Linked DNA regions of Caenorhabditis elegans. The protein of the gene in region 1 interacts with the protein of each later gene in a biochemical or structural test. Each region holds a gene or a part of one and is shown in the gene's direction. Other genes may lie near its edges.

The links.
Region 2: of the proteins of famk-1 (region 1) and clec-100, one has a biochemical effect on the other in vitro, tested with the Caenorhabditis elegans proteins (one study listed by BioGRID).
Region 3: of the proteins of famk-1 (region 1) and clec-110, one has a biochemical effect on the other in vitro, tested with the Caenorhabditis elegans proteins (one study listed by BioGRID).
Region 4: of the proteins of famk-1 (region 1) and clec-104, one has a biochemical effect on the other in vitro, tested with the Caenorhabditis elegans proteins (one study listed by BioGRID).

The regions. Positions count from the first base shown.
Region 1 is NC_003284.9:15,208,770-15,214,936, reverse strand, and holds famk-1 (Extracellular serine/threonine protein kinase CeFam20), read left to right. Parts: upstream 1-1,677; 5' UTR 1,678-1,704; coding exon of another isoform or gene 1,705-1,737; 5' UTR 1,738-1,759; coding exon 1,760-1,853; intron 1,854-2,915; coding exon 2,916-3,195; intron 3,196-3,289; coding exon 3,290-3,499; intron 3,500-3,549; coding exon 3,550-3,642; intron 3,643-3,723; coding exon 3,724-3,836; intron 3,837-3,898; coding exon 3,899-4,052; intron 4,053-4,101; coding exon 4,102-4,244; intron 4,245-4,545; coding exon 4,546-4,842; intron 4,843-4,951; coding exon 4,952-5,106; 3' UTR 5,107-5,648; downstream 5,649-6,167. UniProt on the Caenorhabditis elegans protein: Golgi serine/threonine protein kinase that phosphorylates secretory pathway proteins within Ser-x-Glu/pSer motifs.
Region 2 is NC_003279.8:11,233,784-11,236,953, reverse strand, and holds clec-100 (C-type lectin domain-containing protein), read left to right. Parts: upstream 1-1,777; coding exon 1,778-1,948; intron 1,949-2,171; coding exon 2,172-2,449; intron 2,450-2,495; coding exon 2,496-2,652; downstream 2,653-3,170. Other genes in the region: F46A8.8 (Galectin), read left to right, coding at 247-714, 830-1,072.
Region 3 is NC_003279.8:13,202,540-13,205,962, forward strand, and holds clec-110 (C-type lectin domain-containing protein), read left to right. Parts: upstream 1-1,957; coding exon 1,958-2,208; intron 2,209-2,274; coding exon 2,275-2,429; intron 2,430-2,490; coding exon 2,491-2,623; intron 2,624-2,668; coding exon 2,669-2,864; downstream 2,865-3,423. Other genes in the region: F17B5.6 (L-Fucosyltransferase), read left to right, coding at 1-52, 104-170, 337-497, 777-890, 942-1,051, 1,100-1,203, 1,261-1,428, 1,475-1,566 and 1 more; ZK1225.1 (Core-2/I-branching beta-1,6-N-acetylglucosaminyltransferase family protein), read left to right, coding at 3,125-3,135, 3,270-3,393.
Region 4 is NC_003279.8:12,857,844-12,861,800, forward strand, and holds clec-104 (C-type lectin domain-containing protein), read left to right. Parts: upstream 1-1,649; 5' UTR 1,650-1,655; coding exon 1,656-1,928; intron 1,929-1,975; coding exon 1,976-2,081; intron 2,082-2,707; coding exon 2,708-2,906; intron 2,907-3,206; coding exon 3,207-3,354; 3' UTR 3,355-3,450; downstream 3,451-3,957. Other genes in the region: ciao-1 (putative cytosolic iron-sulfur protein assembly protein CIAO1 homolog), read right to left, coding at 1-130, 269-419.

The DNA.
Region 1 (6,167 bases):
ACTGTGTAATCAATTTTTTTCTTCATCTTTCTTATCATATAGTTTTTGTTTTGCTTGAAATTTGTTTTTCTCTGATATCATCATTCTGACTACAATTTGAGAAAGATTATTTTTTCTTGATCCAATGTTTTTATTTTATGGTTAGAAAATAGAAAGAAAAAATCTTTAAATTTTGAATCAGATTTGGAATTAAAATAGAAATATTGAAATTTCAGATTCGTACTTATTTTTCATATTTTTCTCTCTATGTGCAATGTTTAAAAGTGGAGTAGCGCCAGTGGGGATTGTTTCTAAATAAACCTATAATGATCCAAAACGACCAAATATCATAATCAACCACTCCTTTTTTTTCCGGACAAAGTTCTGGAAAATTGACAAATTTTTGAAAAATATGAGCTTTTGAGGAAATCCAAAGCAATGTCGTATGTTTTGACTCTTACAATGTTTAAATCCAAATAAATAAAACAAAATTACAATATAAAAAATGCAGAAAAACAAATTTTTTTTTGGTCGAAATCCAAAATTATGAGTGGCAAAAACTGAGTAATTGTCACTTTTTGACAGTAAATAAAAAAATTTTGAAAACTTTTTTGAAAAGTTTTATTATGATATTCGGTTATTTTGGCACCATAGGAATGGTTTTTAACAATTTCCCCCTGGCGCTACTCCACTTTAAGATTTTAAAAGCTTATGTAAAACCACACGTTTGATCGTAAAACGTTTAAGCCTAGTTTATTTGAGCAGTAAATATATCTGCATGGGAGCAAAATTGATTTTAATTATGAGTTTTTTTTCAAATTAGTAACAAATTAACAAACTTGAATTGGTCCGATTTATAAATTTTGATAAAATAAGTGTTGTTTTTCCAATTAAAAAAACTATTTAGTAAAAGTATTGTCGTTGATTTTTCCTCGTCGCTAATTGAAATTTCCTGTCAAACTTACAGTTTTTGTTTAATTTTCTACATAAAATATTCTCAAAAGCGAACCAAATTTTCTGTTTTTTAAACGGATAATAAATCAAATTTTGGTGCTCATCTCTTATTAAAGGCTCATAATATACATATAACGGATCATTTCTAGATGTGGGATATCAAAAATCTCAATCTCGTTCTCCACCCTGACCACATCCCAAATGATGACCCAGCTAATTTTCCAAAAAGTCCCATTTACCACCAATAAGTTCGGTGACGCAAGGTGGGCAATCCTCCGTCAATTTCTTGCTTCCCAGCACTTTACGAGCAAACACACACAGCGACTCTGCCGAAGAAACGAACCACACACACCTTTGACGTTCCCAGGCCCTTCCCTCCACATCATTCGCCGATGTTTACAGCCTCTTCGCCTCTCCAATGTTTTGTCGTTTTTACAATATACAAGGTGTGCGGGTCTGTCAGTTTAGGAGTGGATGGAGGAGGAGGAGGTGGTTGATGGCGTGCGTGTGGTGATGTTTCTCGAAAACAGTGTGGCAGTTTCTTTTTCTCTCCCCCCACTTGCCCTCTTCTGTCCATTAGAAGAAACTTTAATTGAATTTATAGGACTAGAATTGAATTGTAATTGGTATATATTGCTGGAGTAAATTATTAATTAATCGCTTTGATCTCTTGTTTCCTCATTCTACCCCATTATTTATCTATAATAGCTTATGAACCTCACCCCATAAATGCTCATTTTGCAGTGTCACAAAACTGGGAGCCGGCGTTTGATGAAGCTGAAACCAGCAAAGAGCAAGAAGTGAGACGAGAAAAGTCCAGAAAGACATGCGGTGCAATATAAAGCGATTATTCACTTTGGCGATCGGAGTTTTTGCGGCTACACTGGTTATAATCTCGTTTTCCAAGGACAACTATGAAAGTAAGTTCTAAAATTGTATATGTGTTGTTTATTGGTTGAAAATGATTATTTGAATTCGCTAGAAAGGAATAGTGGCGATAGCAATCGATAAAACAAGAGAGAAACTATGCCTAAATGTGGCCTATAACATGTGGGAGTTTTGTGACAATTTTGTCTTTATTGTCTATATGAAAATTTAGATCAAATCTCAATTTCCGAAAAAAATGGAAAAACTTTAGACATCTTTGAATACTATTTTAATCAACACTTTTCCACAAAAGTTTTTATATTGTTCCTAGAAAAGTATTAAAAAAGTAGTAGAAAACTTTTTGACAATGACACGTTGGAAAAAATTACAAAAAAATGTTTATGAACTTTGTATTTTCTTGAAAATCTGGCAGTTTGCCAAAAATTTGATTGCAATTTTTAATAAGTCTGAAACGTTCTACATATATAGATTTTCGTAGTTTACCCATTTTGATAATATTTTTACTAGGCCTATTCGAACTTTATAATATTAAAGGCGGAGTAGCGCCAGTGGGGATATTGTCTAACTACACTAATAATGATCCAAGAAGACCGAATATCATAATAAAACACTCCAAAACATTTTTAGATTTTTTATAATTTCCGATCAAAGTTTTGGCAAATTTCCACAGTTTTGAAAAATATGAGCTTTTGGTGAAATCTGGAGCAACGTCGCATGTTCCGACCCCTGCAATGTTTAAATCCTAATAAATAAAACAAAATTAAAGCGTAAAAAATGTAGGAAAAAATAATTTTGGTCGACTTCCAGTATTATAAGTGGCAAAAACTGAGTAATTGCCACTTTTTGACAGTAAATAAAAAAATTTAGAAAACATTTTTGAAAAGTTTTATTATGATATTCGATCATTTCGGCATTTTAGGAATAGTTGTTAACAATTTCCCCACTGGCGCTACTCCACCTTTCAATTATCTCTCTTTTCTAACAGTTCTTATGATAACTATATTTATTAAACTCTGGGCCTGTATGACTAAGTTGATAGTTTTAAACAAACCATTCACAAGGTTTCTCCTAAATAATCTTGCATCCATTTTCAGGAGAATGGAAACAAGGACCTCAATCAAACGAAGCACGAGCTGTAGGCCACCAGAGTCCCGACTTGTTTCCAGTCGGACAAAATAGTCTACCACACCAGCCAATTCCTCCAAGCCTTGGCGAGAAGGATCTTAGTGATCCATTCAACTTCTTGTTTTCATCTAACAAAATCACTTTACGCAAACTTTATGATCTCACTAAAAATGTAGATTTTGATCAGTTAAGGCAGAACGAGTGCAAGAAGAACATCACGCTTTCAAAGTTCTGGGAGAAGTCTGAACAGTAAGTTTTATATTTTGAAATTTCAAAAATTGAAAATGAAAATGAAAATTTTAACACCAGCTGCCAGCAAAAAAAAATCTCATCACTGTTTCAGGAGAAATGTGCCGGAAGATGACAACTGGGAGAGGTTCTACTCAAACATTGGAAGTTGTTCGGTGTACTCGGATGATCAAATGATTGACAACTTGCTGCACGATCTCAACACAAGTCCCATCAAACACGTGCACATTATGGATGGAGGCACTCAAGTGAAATTTGTGTTCACCTTCAAAAACGATAAGCAGGCCGTGTTTAAGCCGATGAGGTTTGATGAACAGAGAACACCGGAAAATAGTTGTTTTCTTTCTTTTTCAGATTTGGACGCGATTATGAATCGGATCCGAATCATTTCTACTTCAGTGATTTTGAACGACATCATGCAGAAATCGCAACTTTCCATTTAGACAGGTTAGTGGATTAAATAATGGATTTGTTTTTGTTAGAGATGGTTATCAATTTTTTTTTTTAAATCGGTCAGTTGAATTTCAGAGTGCTCGGCTTCCGACGAGCAATCCCCACCGTTGGACGAGTTCTCAATATGACAACTGAGCTGTTCGAAAAAGCAGAGAAAAAACTCAAGAAGACTTTCTTCTTCTCTCCAGGTACAGTTGACATCAAGACACCAAACCTGTTCACCACATCAATTTTATAAAAATAATTCCAGCCAAAAACTTTTGCTTCGTGTCACGATGCGATTATTACTGCGACACGACACATGCAATTTGCGGTCTTCCTGATATGAAGGAAGGCAGTGTGCAAGTGTTCTTACCCGACGAGTCAGCAGTTCCTCGGAAGCATAATAGGAGTCCGTATAGACGGTAGGTTGAAGGCCGATGGATAATAAAATAGCTAGCAGACTGTTTTCAGAACCTACTCGAAAAAGAATCAAGTAGCTGAATGGCAGTCGAGTATGAATTATTGCACGGATAAGGTGAAAACCAAGCGACAATATGCTCATGGAAGAAGGTTACTTGATCTGGTTGATATTCATATTTTGGATTATTTAATAGGTAAGAATTTGCAGTTGTCAAATTTTGAACATAAAAAACCGGTGGTGTTTGCACCCTCCGAATGGATGGTAAATATAGAATAACTGTACGGAATTTTTTTTTCGTATTTCTGACAGTGCTACGAGTATTAAAGTTTCATAACTGTTCTGTATGAGGAGAGTAATTGAAAGACAGCAACTGTACAATATAGAATTTGCTGCTCACAGTGCTTTTTATGGACCTCGTTCAATGTCGGGTGCACATTTACCACAAGTTTACTAACATTTTATTATTAACCAAAGACTAAACTACAAACATCCAGGAAACCAAGACCGTCATCACTTCGAATCCTTCAACGTGTTCAACGATCTTCCTTCCTATGCGATCCATCTCGACCATGGTCGAGCATTTGGCAGATCTGACTTTGACGATGACGACATCATTCTCCCGCTCCGACAATGCTGCATCCTACGTCCATCCACTTTCCAGACCCTTATGAATTTCTACAGTACACCAAAGTCACTGACGAAAGCCCTACACGAGTCATTATCGAAAGATCCAGCCCATCCGATTTTGGCTTATAAGCATTATCCGGCAATGGAAAGGCGGTTAGCAAAAAGTAAGTATTGAAATTATATTGAAAGGTTACCGAAAAACCTGAAAAATATTTTCCTGTGAAAATTCCAATTTGGGAATACAAAACTTAAAGAAAAAAAAACAATTTTCAGTTATGTCTCACATACTGGAATGCTTCGAAAGCCGGGGAGTTGCCGAAGTTCTAGTTGCCGAGTACAACAACCCCGATGTCTCAGACGCCGAGCAAAACGACGAAGAGCAAAGCGAGGAGCATCAGGATAAGAAGGATGATAAGAAAACTGTTTAGTCGTCATTCGTTAGGTCTTCTCAATTTTACCAAGGTCATGTAGTAGCATTTTAAATTTCCCTCTTAAACTTCAATGTTTCTTTGCGTTGCATTCGGGTCTCGAGCTTCTTTCACTCTCTGTTATTGTTGTATTTTTTCTTTTCACTTCCCCCCGTTTTTTAAACCCACAAGAAGGTATCCCATCCATCGCTCCACGGTTTCTCTCTGGTCAAACATTCATTTATGAGGGTCATATTATGTAGGTCAAATCAAAAACAAATCGGTGTTATAATATCGAAAAAATTTCTCGAAGAATTTGAAAAGTAACCTGATAGTTGTTTTGTGTAGAATTTCTGTTGAATATTATGATTATATATTCTCAGCTCTTTTTTTGTCATTTCTTTTTTTTTCCTATTGAATATCATACTTCTTTTATCAAAAGACGCAAACTTACTGGGTATATAATTCTCGCTGAGCAATGTGGCTGCAGTGCTCCATTTCTTGTCAAATCGGTTGTTTTTTTTTCTACTTTCAGGACGAATCATAAATGTTGTGATTAAATTGTTCTGTGTTTTTTTTTTCATTTCCAGTACAGGAATTGTTATTTTCAGAGATCAAGTTTCAAGGAATTTTTTAAAATTTTTTTAAAAAAATTTTAGTTTCAAGTAATTAAAATTTTGACAAAAAGTGGACCCTAATGACCGAATATAACTGTTCAATATTGCTAACAATTTTCAAAATTTCAAAAAAAATTTCAAAATTTCAAAATTTTTTATGATTTTTCAACTTTGCAAAAATTAAAAAAAGCGGCCAAATTAAATTTAAATTCCCGCGCAAATGAGTGACGTCATTTTCAATATTTTCGCGTTTTCTGGCTTAATTTACCAGGTTTCCTTGATTTCATCTTCTGCATTTGAGTTAAAATTCTGTTAGTCAATTTTTCGAACACTTTTCTTTAAAAAAATATTATAAAAAATATTAAAATTGTCGATTATTAGGTTGATTTTGAAATTTCCGCTTTACGGAAAAGTAATTTAAAAATTGACAAACGGTGTTTCTAATCAAATGCTAAAGAAAAAATC
Region 2 (3,170 bases), on another chromosome or scaffold:
CTTATATACTCGTAAGGACGTGACGCTCCCTGCTCAGAGACCGCGTGGGCTTTAGAGTCATGCGCTTTATGCACGTCTCCAAAGTCCACTCAGTGCAACATGAGAAGTGATCATAGAACACTTCCACATATGTATAATAAAATCTTGTCGATATAGACGTTGAAAGTCACACATAAAGTTTGAGACTAAAGTCGACAAGCTATAAAACATGTACTCCTCCGCTGAAACCTCAAAAGTTCCTTTTCAATGAGGCTTTTACATGTTCTTCTACTCCTCACCTTTCTGGTGCTAGTTTCTGGATATTTTTCTGATAACGGCGATAAAAAAGTTAAGAAAATAAAAATAGTCCACTATGATTCAACATCCTCCAGTTCCTCTGAAGAACATCGTCATAGGCCACGTGGAGGAAAAGGGCCTAGGTTCGACGATGGTTCCTTCGAGGATTACAGTGGGCGACGTGGTGGTGGGCGGCATAGGCCACCGAGGCCTCCAAGGCCTCCAAGGCCCGTACCAACACCTAAGCCAGTAGAAAATATGGAAACTCTTAATGGGCCGTTTGGGCCCGATGTACGTTATCCGATTCCTGGAGGATATTGGGATACAGGCAAGGTCCTCCGATTTTATGGTGTTCCTGGACAAGGTAGATGGTCCATTAACTTGGATCAAGCAAAGACGTGGCTGTTTCATTTCGCGTCACAGCCTGATCTGGGCCATGTGAGTCTTTAACTTCTAAGAAATGTGGGCCGTTGAGCTTAGAACCTCATGTTTAGGCCATGTTGCTTAAAAAACAGTCCTTGCCTCTGAATACTTCTTTTTCTTCATTTTACAGGTTGTCCGAACCCGTGAGCAAAATGGGCAATTTCAAACCCCTGACACATATGGTGGAAACCCATTTCCTGCTGGTGCCAATTTCAATGTTACTATGGTCAATCAGCCAACGCATATTGAGATTCATGTCAATCAGGTTTTCTTCACAAACTATAATCATCGAACTGGCAATCCATCGAGAGACTATCAACACGTCGTTTTCTCCGGAAATGTCATTATCTCGAAAATTGAAATTACTAGATAACTTGTTTAGCTGAATGAAACCTTTGTTGTCAGTTTATTGAAATATTTGTAGTTTTGTGGTTCAGAATAGTCCGATTAGCTAAAAAATAGCTTAATTAGCCAGTAAATACAAAGATTCAACCGTGGATTTATTAAAATTCCTATTAAAAAAGATTAAAGGACGATTCCTGCTATGCTCTGCGGATCCGGTGAACTACCTGGTGGTGCTGAAACTGGGTTATAATTTAAAGCACGCCGGGGACTGTGGCCGATGACCTAGTCATGGATTGCAATATAGAGGCTGGGTGGCAGACCGGTGAAACATGGGGCGGCAATCCGTATACTGTCGGTGCCAATTTCAATGTCACTTTGATCAATCAGCCGTCACATATCGAGATTCATGTCAATCAGGCATTCTTCGTGAACTTTAACCATCGAGTTGCCAATCCGTCGAGGGATTATCAAGTTTTGAATTTCCACGAAAGTGTCGTTATCACGAAATATGAGATTACCAAGTAATGAATCATTTGTTGCATTTTCTTGAAACAATAGAAATCAGAGCCCTAAGCCTGAGCCTAAGCCTGAGCCTAAAACTCTGGACACCAAACATGAAAATGATGAAGCTACAAACATCGGAAGCGATCTTTCTGCAGAACAGTTGGTAATAAAAACGTTTGCAAACATGGCTATTTAAGTGCACTTCCGATCAAACTTTTGAAGAACCAAGATGTTCCTGATTCTTTTTCTCGTTTTCATAACCACTTCAGCTATAGATTTTGATGATTCCTCATGTGACTCCTCGTCAGAAGAGCATGGAGGTGGGCGTCCGGCTCGACCGGGCACCTGTGGACAGCACTGGCATACTTTCAAGAGACCACAGGGGACATGGTGTGTTAGAGTGAGTTTTCTAACCTGAAATGTTTTAAATTTGAAAAATTATACCATAAACCTGATAAGCGAAAACTAAACCAAATCCTGAGCTTAAGCTTAAGCCTAAGCCTAAGCGAAAAACCTAAGCTTAAGCCTAAGCCCAAACCAAGGTCTAAGCCTAAGCCCATGTCCAAGCTAATTTCGTGTAAATTTAAGTTTTCGTAGAGCTCCCTGAGGCCTTTCTTTTCCAGGTGGTCACCGGCGATGTAGACTACTACCGGGGTCTTGCTGAATGCGCAAAGTACGGAGCAGTCCTGTCCGGAATTCAAAACAATCAAGAACGAGAATGGATTGCAAACAAGGCCGTTAGCTTGAACGTAGCCGCTGGTAAAACTCACTCAGGAGTCTGGCTTGGTGCTCAGCGAACCTCTGCGACGGCGTTCCGATGGACAGACGGGCATACCACTGGGACTGAAGCTATGGTATTCGGGCCTGGACAACCGGATAATGATCATGGAGCTGGAAGAGGGTATGCAGGGTTTTAGTCTTCAAGCCTGATCCATTTATATTTCCAGACCTCAACGCTGCCTGCAGCTTATGGCCTTGACACCGTCCTACTGGAACATTCCGGGTCACCTGATAAATCTGAAGAGTGGACAGCTTGACGATATTTGGTGTAATGTGACTTTGAGCCCGCGAGTCAGAATGTACTTGTGCGGGAAAAAAGCTTGATAAATTTCAATATAAATTCGGTTTATGCATTTATATCTATTATCCGAGTGAAACGAAAGAACCTAGATTCTAACAAGAAAAAAACAAAGGTTAAAAAAAATTACTATGATACACTCAAAATAATAAAACTGCGTGGCGTGTACTGCAGAAAACCTCATATTTAGGCCCCGCCTTTTTCTCGTCCACTCACGGAGAAAAGGCAAAAATTTGGGGACCAACCAATATCAGGCCGCCGACATCCTACGGGTTCCGCGCGCCGCTATGTTTAACTCGCAGCGGGCGGAGACAGCTCACCACGCCCACAGCGAGTTAAACATAGCGGCGCGCGGAACCCGTAGGATGTCGGCGGCCTGATATTGGTTGGTCCCCAAATTTTTGCCTTTTCTCCGTGAGTGGACGAGAAAAAGGCGGGGCCTAAATATGAGGTTTTCTGCAGTACACGCCACGCAGTTTTATTATTTTGAGTGTATTTGGTCAATTTTTAAAAGCAATCTCTACACTGGCGCTACTTCACCATT
Region 3 (3,423 bases), on another chromosome or scaffold:
CCCTCGCCCTTACAACTACTGGTGGATAAGAACTTCATTATATTGTGATGGGGTATTTTAAATTTTAAGATGAAACCTTACAATGATAAAATTATAATTACAGAAAAGGAACGACGAACAAAAATACTTGGTTATTCCCATGCTAACGACAATAACGGATTCAGGCCTTGGTAATTTATTTAGATATATGCAAACCAGTTTAAATCTTTCCTTAACTGCTGTAAGGCCATACTAAAAGTACCCAAAAGTTTTGAAAATAAAGTCGGAATAATTAAAAGCTCCAACAGTCATGATAACGTATATTTTTTGTAATATAGAAATATACAAAAATTTCAGGAAACCAACTATTCGAAGTAGTTTCCTTACTTGGAATGGCAGAGGTGTTAAACAGAACTGCGATATTCAACAAAGACGACACAATGCTCAACGAAAAGCTCAGTTTCTTCCGAGAAACAGTTCCACGTGTAGCCGAGAAGGTGGCCTCGATGCCTATTGAGGTATGCCTTACGGGCCTTAAAAAATGCACCTTAAAAACCTAATGTGTAATAATTGAGGTTGACACCAGGTCTGGTACCAAAAAATAAATTTGAACCAAAAAACAAAGAACCGGTGAAAAAGTGAAAATTTTAGGTTCTTTTTGTTCCAAAAAACCAAAAAAAAATCAATTGTTTTTCAAAATAACAAAATAGGTCCCAGCTTTGGTTGGCACGGCATACTTACCTGCTATAGACTCTATGTGAAGATATAAGACAATCAAACATCCTTCACTGTTTTAGATCTCAAAGTCCGCTCGATTCGTCGCACCAGTCGCCTGCTGTTACTACCAATACACGGGCCTGCTCACTTGCGATCAGAGCAAGTTCCTGGTCATTGATGGGATGCATTTCCAGGTGAGAACTACGACCGCTAGGTAAACTATGATATTAGCTAGATATGTTCAGAGTTACAAATATTTTGCACCCATCGAATCTACCATCAGGCAGTTGTTGAAGCCAACCCCGGAAGAACTAGCCAGAATTTCAATGAAGAATCAGGAGGAAGGTCGTCATGGGTACCACCTAATTTATATTCAACAAAACTTAAAATCTTTAATGTTTAGTACCTGCGTGCACGTTCGTCGTGGAGACTTTGTCGCAGACTCGCAGCACACTGGGACAGACGAAACATTTACTATCAAGGCAATCGAGTATTTGTTCACTAAATGTTAGTAAAAATTTTACCGGAACAGTCTGGCTGCAGTTATAAAACTCCCATTTTTAGACAGTGGAACTATTTACATGATCAGCAACGATCCAGACTGGGTGGGAGAGCATATTGTGAACCATGTCGCTTTTCGAAATGATATGAAAGTGCTAAGAACTCCCAACAATCGAGCCATTGATGATCTCTATTTTTCGCAGGTTTACTGTGATTCTGTTCTGATAACTGGTAGGTGTAAAGGTATTGAGAGAATGAGAAATCAAATTATTTTCAGCCCCCTCTTCCACGTTTGGCTGGTGGATCGGATATCTGTCAAAAAATCAATCAGCAGTGTATTATCGAGATATTCGAGAAACCACTGATGAGGTATTTATTGGGCGTATTCCTAAAATATAAAGTTTTTTTGTTCAGGTGAAGTACCAAATGGTCGAAGAGGATTTCTTTCCAGAAACTTGGACAAAACTGCGGATTTCTGATATGCTTTAAGCTAACATATTAGTGATAGTTGTTTGTTGGTTTTACACCTTATATTAATAAAATAGTTTTTTTAAAAATTCATTGCTACTTAAAAACTGATCAGGAACACTCTGAATGTTTTATGTCGTATGCAGATGTATAATACTACTACAAAAAATGTACAGTGTACGGTAATACCACGTTTCTCTCTGTCCCGATCACCTTTTTCCAAGCGATAAAAACCAGCATCAGTATAAAATACAAAGTTTTATGAGACAACCAGCAGAGTTCCGTATCAAAGATGCATCTTGCGACGCCAGTCGTGTTTCTTTTGCTTTTTGCAACTATAACCATCGCTATCGAATTTGATGGTGGTAAAGGAGGTGGAAGAAGACGGCTTGATTTCTCTGATTCTTCTTTATCTTCATCTTCCGAAGAACATAGACATAGACCCCCGCATCGGCCGAGGCCTCCAAGACCCTCAAGACCAACAACTCCGAGAGGTGAATGTGACGATGGATGGTTGAGATTCGAGAGGGATCACGAAATCTGGTGTATTTTTATAAGTGATTCTGGATTTAACAAGAATTCAATTCCTTGTTAGATTGCCTATCCGAGGATCACAAATGCTATGCTTACTCAACCGACTGCTGAAACCCTCTGCCAAACAATGGGTGCCACGTTGACAGGATATCAAAATGATAATGAGCGAGTGACCACTGCAAATGAAGCACTGAAAAAACTCGTAGCTGCCGGACAATCTACCATTGCCGGTAAGCCTATATCTCAGTTTTGCAATTTCAGTATAATTATGTTCATCTATGTGGCTTGGAGCGACAAATGTACCAGCATGCAGATACCAAAGCTGTGGACCTTATAACACATTTACATGGACCGATGGTCACACGAATGGAACTGCAGGCTTCAGCAAATGGGGAGTTGGACAACCCGATAATCGTAACTATGGGTCGGATCTAATATTATTTTAAAGACCATCAATTACTATTTTCAGAGGACCTACAATCTGTCTTCAACAATTCATCATGACCCCTAACTGGGTCGGACTTCGAGGAGACCTCGAGGAATGGAGAGCTGCTTTCACCAATGGAGATCTTGATAGATATGGATGCCTAGACGCTCCAGGACTGCCCCAGACAAAAATGTACGCTTGTGGAAAAGTCGGGGTCAGTCGAAGATCACGTGGATAAATTGTGACATATGAAATATTAATGAAGTGTTTTCTTACGAGTGTGTTTTTTCTTTCCTGGAGTAACTTGCCCGGCCCAACTGTTCGGCACATTGATTTTCATTTCCAGTGAACTCATTGTATTGCGATCAAGCAAGACACTGCCCGATTCCGTTTTCCGCGTACCTCTTTTTAGATCTGCTATCTACGCGGAAAATTCGATAGTGCGTGCGTTTCTTGAAATTCTTCGGACCATATTTATTATCGATTTTCAATTTAAAAATGATTGGAAGGTTAGTTTTTATTTGGAAAATATTTAGTTGTGCATGAATCGTATGTAAGCTTGTAACGTTTTGATAAATTTTGATTTTTGTCTTCTTTTAGACCACTTCTTTTTTTTTTGCAAAAATAACTTTAACAAATTCAGGACCACTTCGAAAAAACTTCCGTTGCTCCTGACTTTTGCGATTTTGACGCTGTGGATTGTTTTCGAGTTTACAGAATTCGAGTTTCTGTACACAAAGTCGCAGTTTCAAGTGGAAGATTTTAATGTGAGTTGGCATACATTTCTGTAGAGAATC
Region 4 (3,957 bases), on another chromosome or scaffold:
TAAACCACGACGGAAGCGTCAAAACTCGCAGAAACTAGACATTTTCCGTCATTTGAAAATGCGACTGATCGAACCGCCCGTGTATGACTGTCATCCAGTGTTGTACGACACTCCAGACGCATTTTTGAATCTGAAATTTGGGAATTTTTAGAGATTTTCGAATTTTTTAAAGGAAAAAATCTGTTTTTCGATAGATTTCCTTCGTTTTTATGTTTTCCACACCGCTGATCACGATTTTCTGCACAATTTTCAATAAAAATTGACCAACCAGGCTCTCCAACGAGGCTCCAAACCCTGACAGCCTTATCGTCGCCGCAAGAAGCCAAAATTCGTCCTCCATGATGCCAACACGTCATCCAAACTCGACTTGTGTCATCTTTCTCGCCTTGGTGATAAAATTCACCGATTTGTCGCAGCATTTTCCGGTCTGAAAATTGAAAATAAATTTAAAAACTTTAGAAACAATATTTGAAGGAAAATTGCGAATAAAATGAGCGTTTTGTGTGAAATTCCGGGTGAAATTGATGGAAAATTTAAAAATAGCTGATTTATATTTTTAAAATAGCAAGAATCTTAAGAAAAACTAGAAGAAATGAGAAAATTGCTGAAAAAATCGCGATAAAGAATTATCCAAAAAATTCCAGTGCAGTCGCGCTCCATCGTCACGCGTTAGAGAGTGAGAGGGCGCAGAGAAGATAAGACGAAAAACGGCGCGAGACTTGGAGACCCGAAGAACTCGGGGGATGTCCAATTGGGGGGATTACCAACTCGGGGGATTGGCCCCGCCCAAAGAACCGTGGCTTGCAATACGCCCATTTCTGCAACTGCCGCACGGTTTTAAAATTATTTTTTCTTGTTAATTCTCGCTCTATTGAGAAAAATACAGTTTTAAAACCGTGCGGCAGTTGCAGAAATGGGCGTATTGCAAGCCACGGTTCTGTGGGCGGGGCCAATCCCCCGAGTTGGTAATCCCCCCAATTGGACATCCCCCGAGTTCTTCGGGTCTCGAGACTTGAAAATTAGTTTTTTATTTGGATTCAAATTTGAACTGAATCAGGAAAACGCTCTGAAATCGAAAGGAGAATTTTATTTTTCAAACTTTGGAATGAAAAAGTATAAAATTTATCATTAATTCGTGAAAATGTGTGCAACGGCAATTTAAAGGCACATACACAACTTTTCTGGGCGGGTCTCGTCACGATCTTTGTCATTTCTAAAGCTACAGTTTCCAAAAAAGCTCAAATGATTGAAAATGCAAGCATTAATGTTTAATATTGAGTTGGAGACCAGGAAGAAGAAAACCATTAAATAAGTGGCCGAGTTTCTTATTTCGCGGCCAGGTTCGTTCAAAAAGTTCAAACATCGCGCAAAATCTTTGAAAATTGCAAAAATTAATGTTTGATGCGGGAAGTTGTTGTAATTTTGCAAGCATTTGCAATGAAATGAGACCCCTCCGAACGGAGGGGTTGATCAATATAAAACAGCGATTTTTTTAAAGAAATTTCATAGATTTTTTTTTTGGTTTGTCGATTGTTTAAACATCACTTTGTTTTCTTAAATTATCAAAACTTTTACAATCCCATTAGCAATCTGCGCACAGTTCCCGAAACCGTGCGCAGCTTACAAAATGGGCGTGGTTTAATATGCCTTTAGGAATGAGATCCATCCTGCTACTCCTACTGGCGGCATCCATAGCTTCAGCTATCTTTGCTCCTGGAGCCAGCGGAGGTTTTGGAGGTGGAGGTTTTGGGTCACGATCATCATCATCATCATCAGAAGAGGGACGAGGACATCACGGTCACGGCCACGGCCACCATCATGGAAGACCCCCACGGCCACGTCCACCACGTCCGCCAGTATCAAGAGAACCCGAATGTCCAAGTGATTGGTTGTCGTTTGACAGACCTCAGGGAGTCTGGTGTGTCAAGGTGAGCGAGCTACAAGTGCTAGCTCTTTATAGTTTGTAGTCTTACAGGTCTTCTATGAATCACTCACTCAGCCCATCGCCGAGAGTAGGTGCCAGGCACAAGGGGCCACATTGTCCGGATACCAGAATGCCAATGAGCGAATGCAAGTTTCATGTGAGATTTGTAGTTGTTGTAGGCTGGGACCTATCAACCATTATCACGAGGTGCCAGGCTGTCCAATTACGGATTGATCTACAAAAAATGCGGGAATTTTGTGCCCAGCAAAAATATGTGACGTCAGCACGTTCTTAACCATGCAAAATCAGTTAAAAACTCTGCGTCTATTCTCCCGCATTTTTTGTAGATCTACGTAGATCAAGCCGAAATGAGACACACTTTGACACCACGTGGAAAATCGGACTAACGGGTATCCGAAATCTGGGCAATACAGTGTCTATTTTTAAGGTGATACCGAGGTTTTTCCATAATTTTTGATTTGCTACAATGCTATGGCACACGTGGAGTCAGAAAGTCCCATTTCGATTTGATCTTCAAAAAATGCGGGAGGGGAGACGCAGACATCTCAACTGATTTCGCATGGTTAAGAGCGTGCTGACGTCACAACTTTTCTGGAAAAATATTTCCGCATTTTTTGTAGATCAAACTGTAATGAGACAGCCTGACACCACGTGATGGCACTGTTTCTTCTGGTAAATTATATGAAAACTCAAAAAATGAACTTTGAAAAACCGGATGTCCGGTTTCCTAGACGAAATTTTATTTTACTGGAAACACTTCAGACGCTGCTCGTACACTTACAAACCAGAATGGAGGTGGCTTAGCCGAAGTTTGGGTTGGAGCCTATAGAAAAGCTAGATGTCCAAATAAACCTTCATGTACCCCTCTTGACACTTTCGAATGGACTGATGGACATACAACTGGTACTGATGGATTCCATTATCCGGGTACCGAGCCAAATGGATATGTCAACGAACATGGGTTAGTACAGATTTTAACTACTAGTTTATAAATCGTAAAGTTACATGGAGCTCTTTTCAGACTTTTTTTTGAGCCGCAGAGCACCTCTCTAAGCCTAAATCTCGGCTTGTCAAGCTAATAAGCCTAAGCCTGAACCAAAGCCTGAGCCTACTTCTAAGCCTAAGCCTCTGCCTAAGCCTAAGCCTATGCCTCACAGCTTGAGCCTAATCCAAAGCCTAAGCTTAAGCCTAGGCCTAAAACCTTTAAAATTTCAGGGTTACCTAAATTAAATTCATTCCATTTTATTTCTATAATATTCAGACAACAATATTGTATGGAAATGCATATTCACCCGAGCTCTGACACTGAAGCGGCTCGCTACGGATATCATCAAGGAGATTTGGATGATATGCTTTGTGTTGTACCGGTCAGACTCTATGCATGTGGAAAAGTACCCGAACAAGTATGAGATTTTTGTGTTGGAGTTTCTTGAATGGGACGCCGAAACTCATACTTATAAAACCTTTATATGTCATGAAGAAATCTATGAAATTTGGCAATTGTAGCGACCACTGTGACTGAGTTCGTGGCGAGACCCACTTGAAAAAAAAACAACGTGTGCCTTTAAACTGACGTGCCAAATTTGCGAGAAATGACGATGTATTAGAACGAAAACACGAAAAAAATTCGTTAAAATAGGGACAATCCATCTGTTTGAATCCCCTCCAAAAATAGAACTGCAAGACCAATCAGCGATTTGCTCCGCCCACTTTTCGACCAATCAGGATTTTTTTCCAAAACTTTTACTTATTTAAAATTGTCTTTTTTTGGAATGTTTTAGGTCTAATTATACAAAATATCGACTATCATGGCAACCAAAAAAATTCATTTTTTCGAAAACTTGGTGCAATCGCGCTCCAAAGCAAAATAAAAACGCTCCGCCCATCATATTTAGGGTCTCGTTAGGAAGAAAACCGTATTTTTCCCCCGTTTTCAAGCATTTTTCGTCATTTTTTTTTACGGAAAACTTAACAAAAAAATGCTTTAAATCAGCAAAATTAATCTAAAAAAT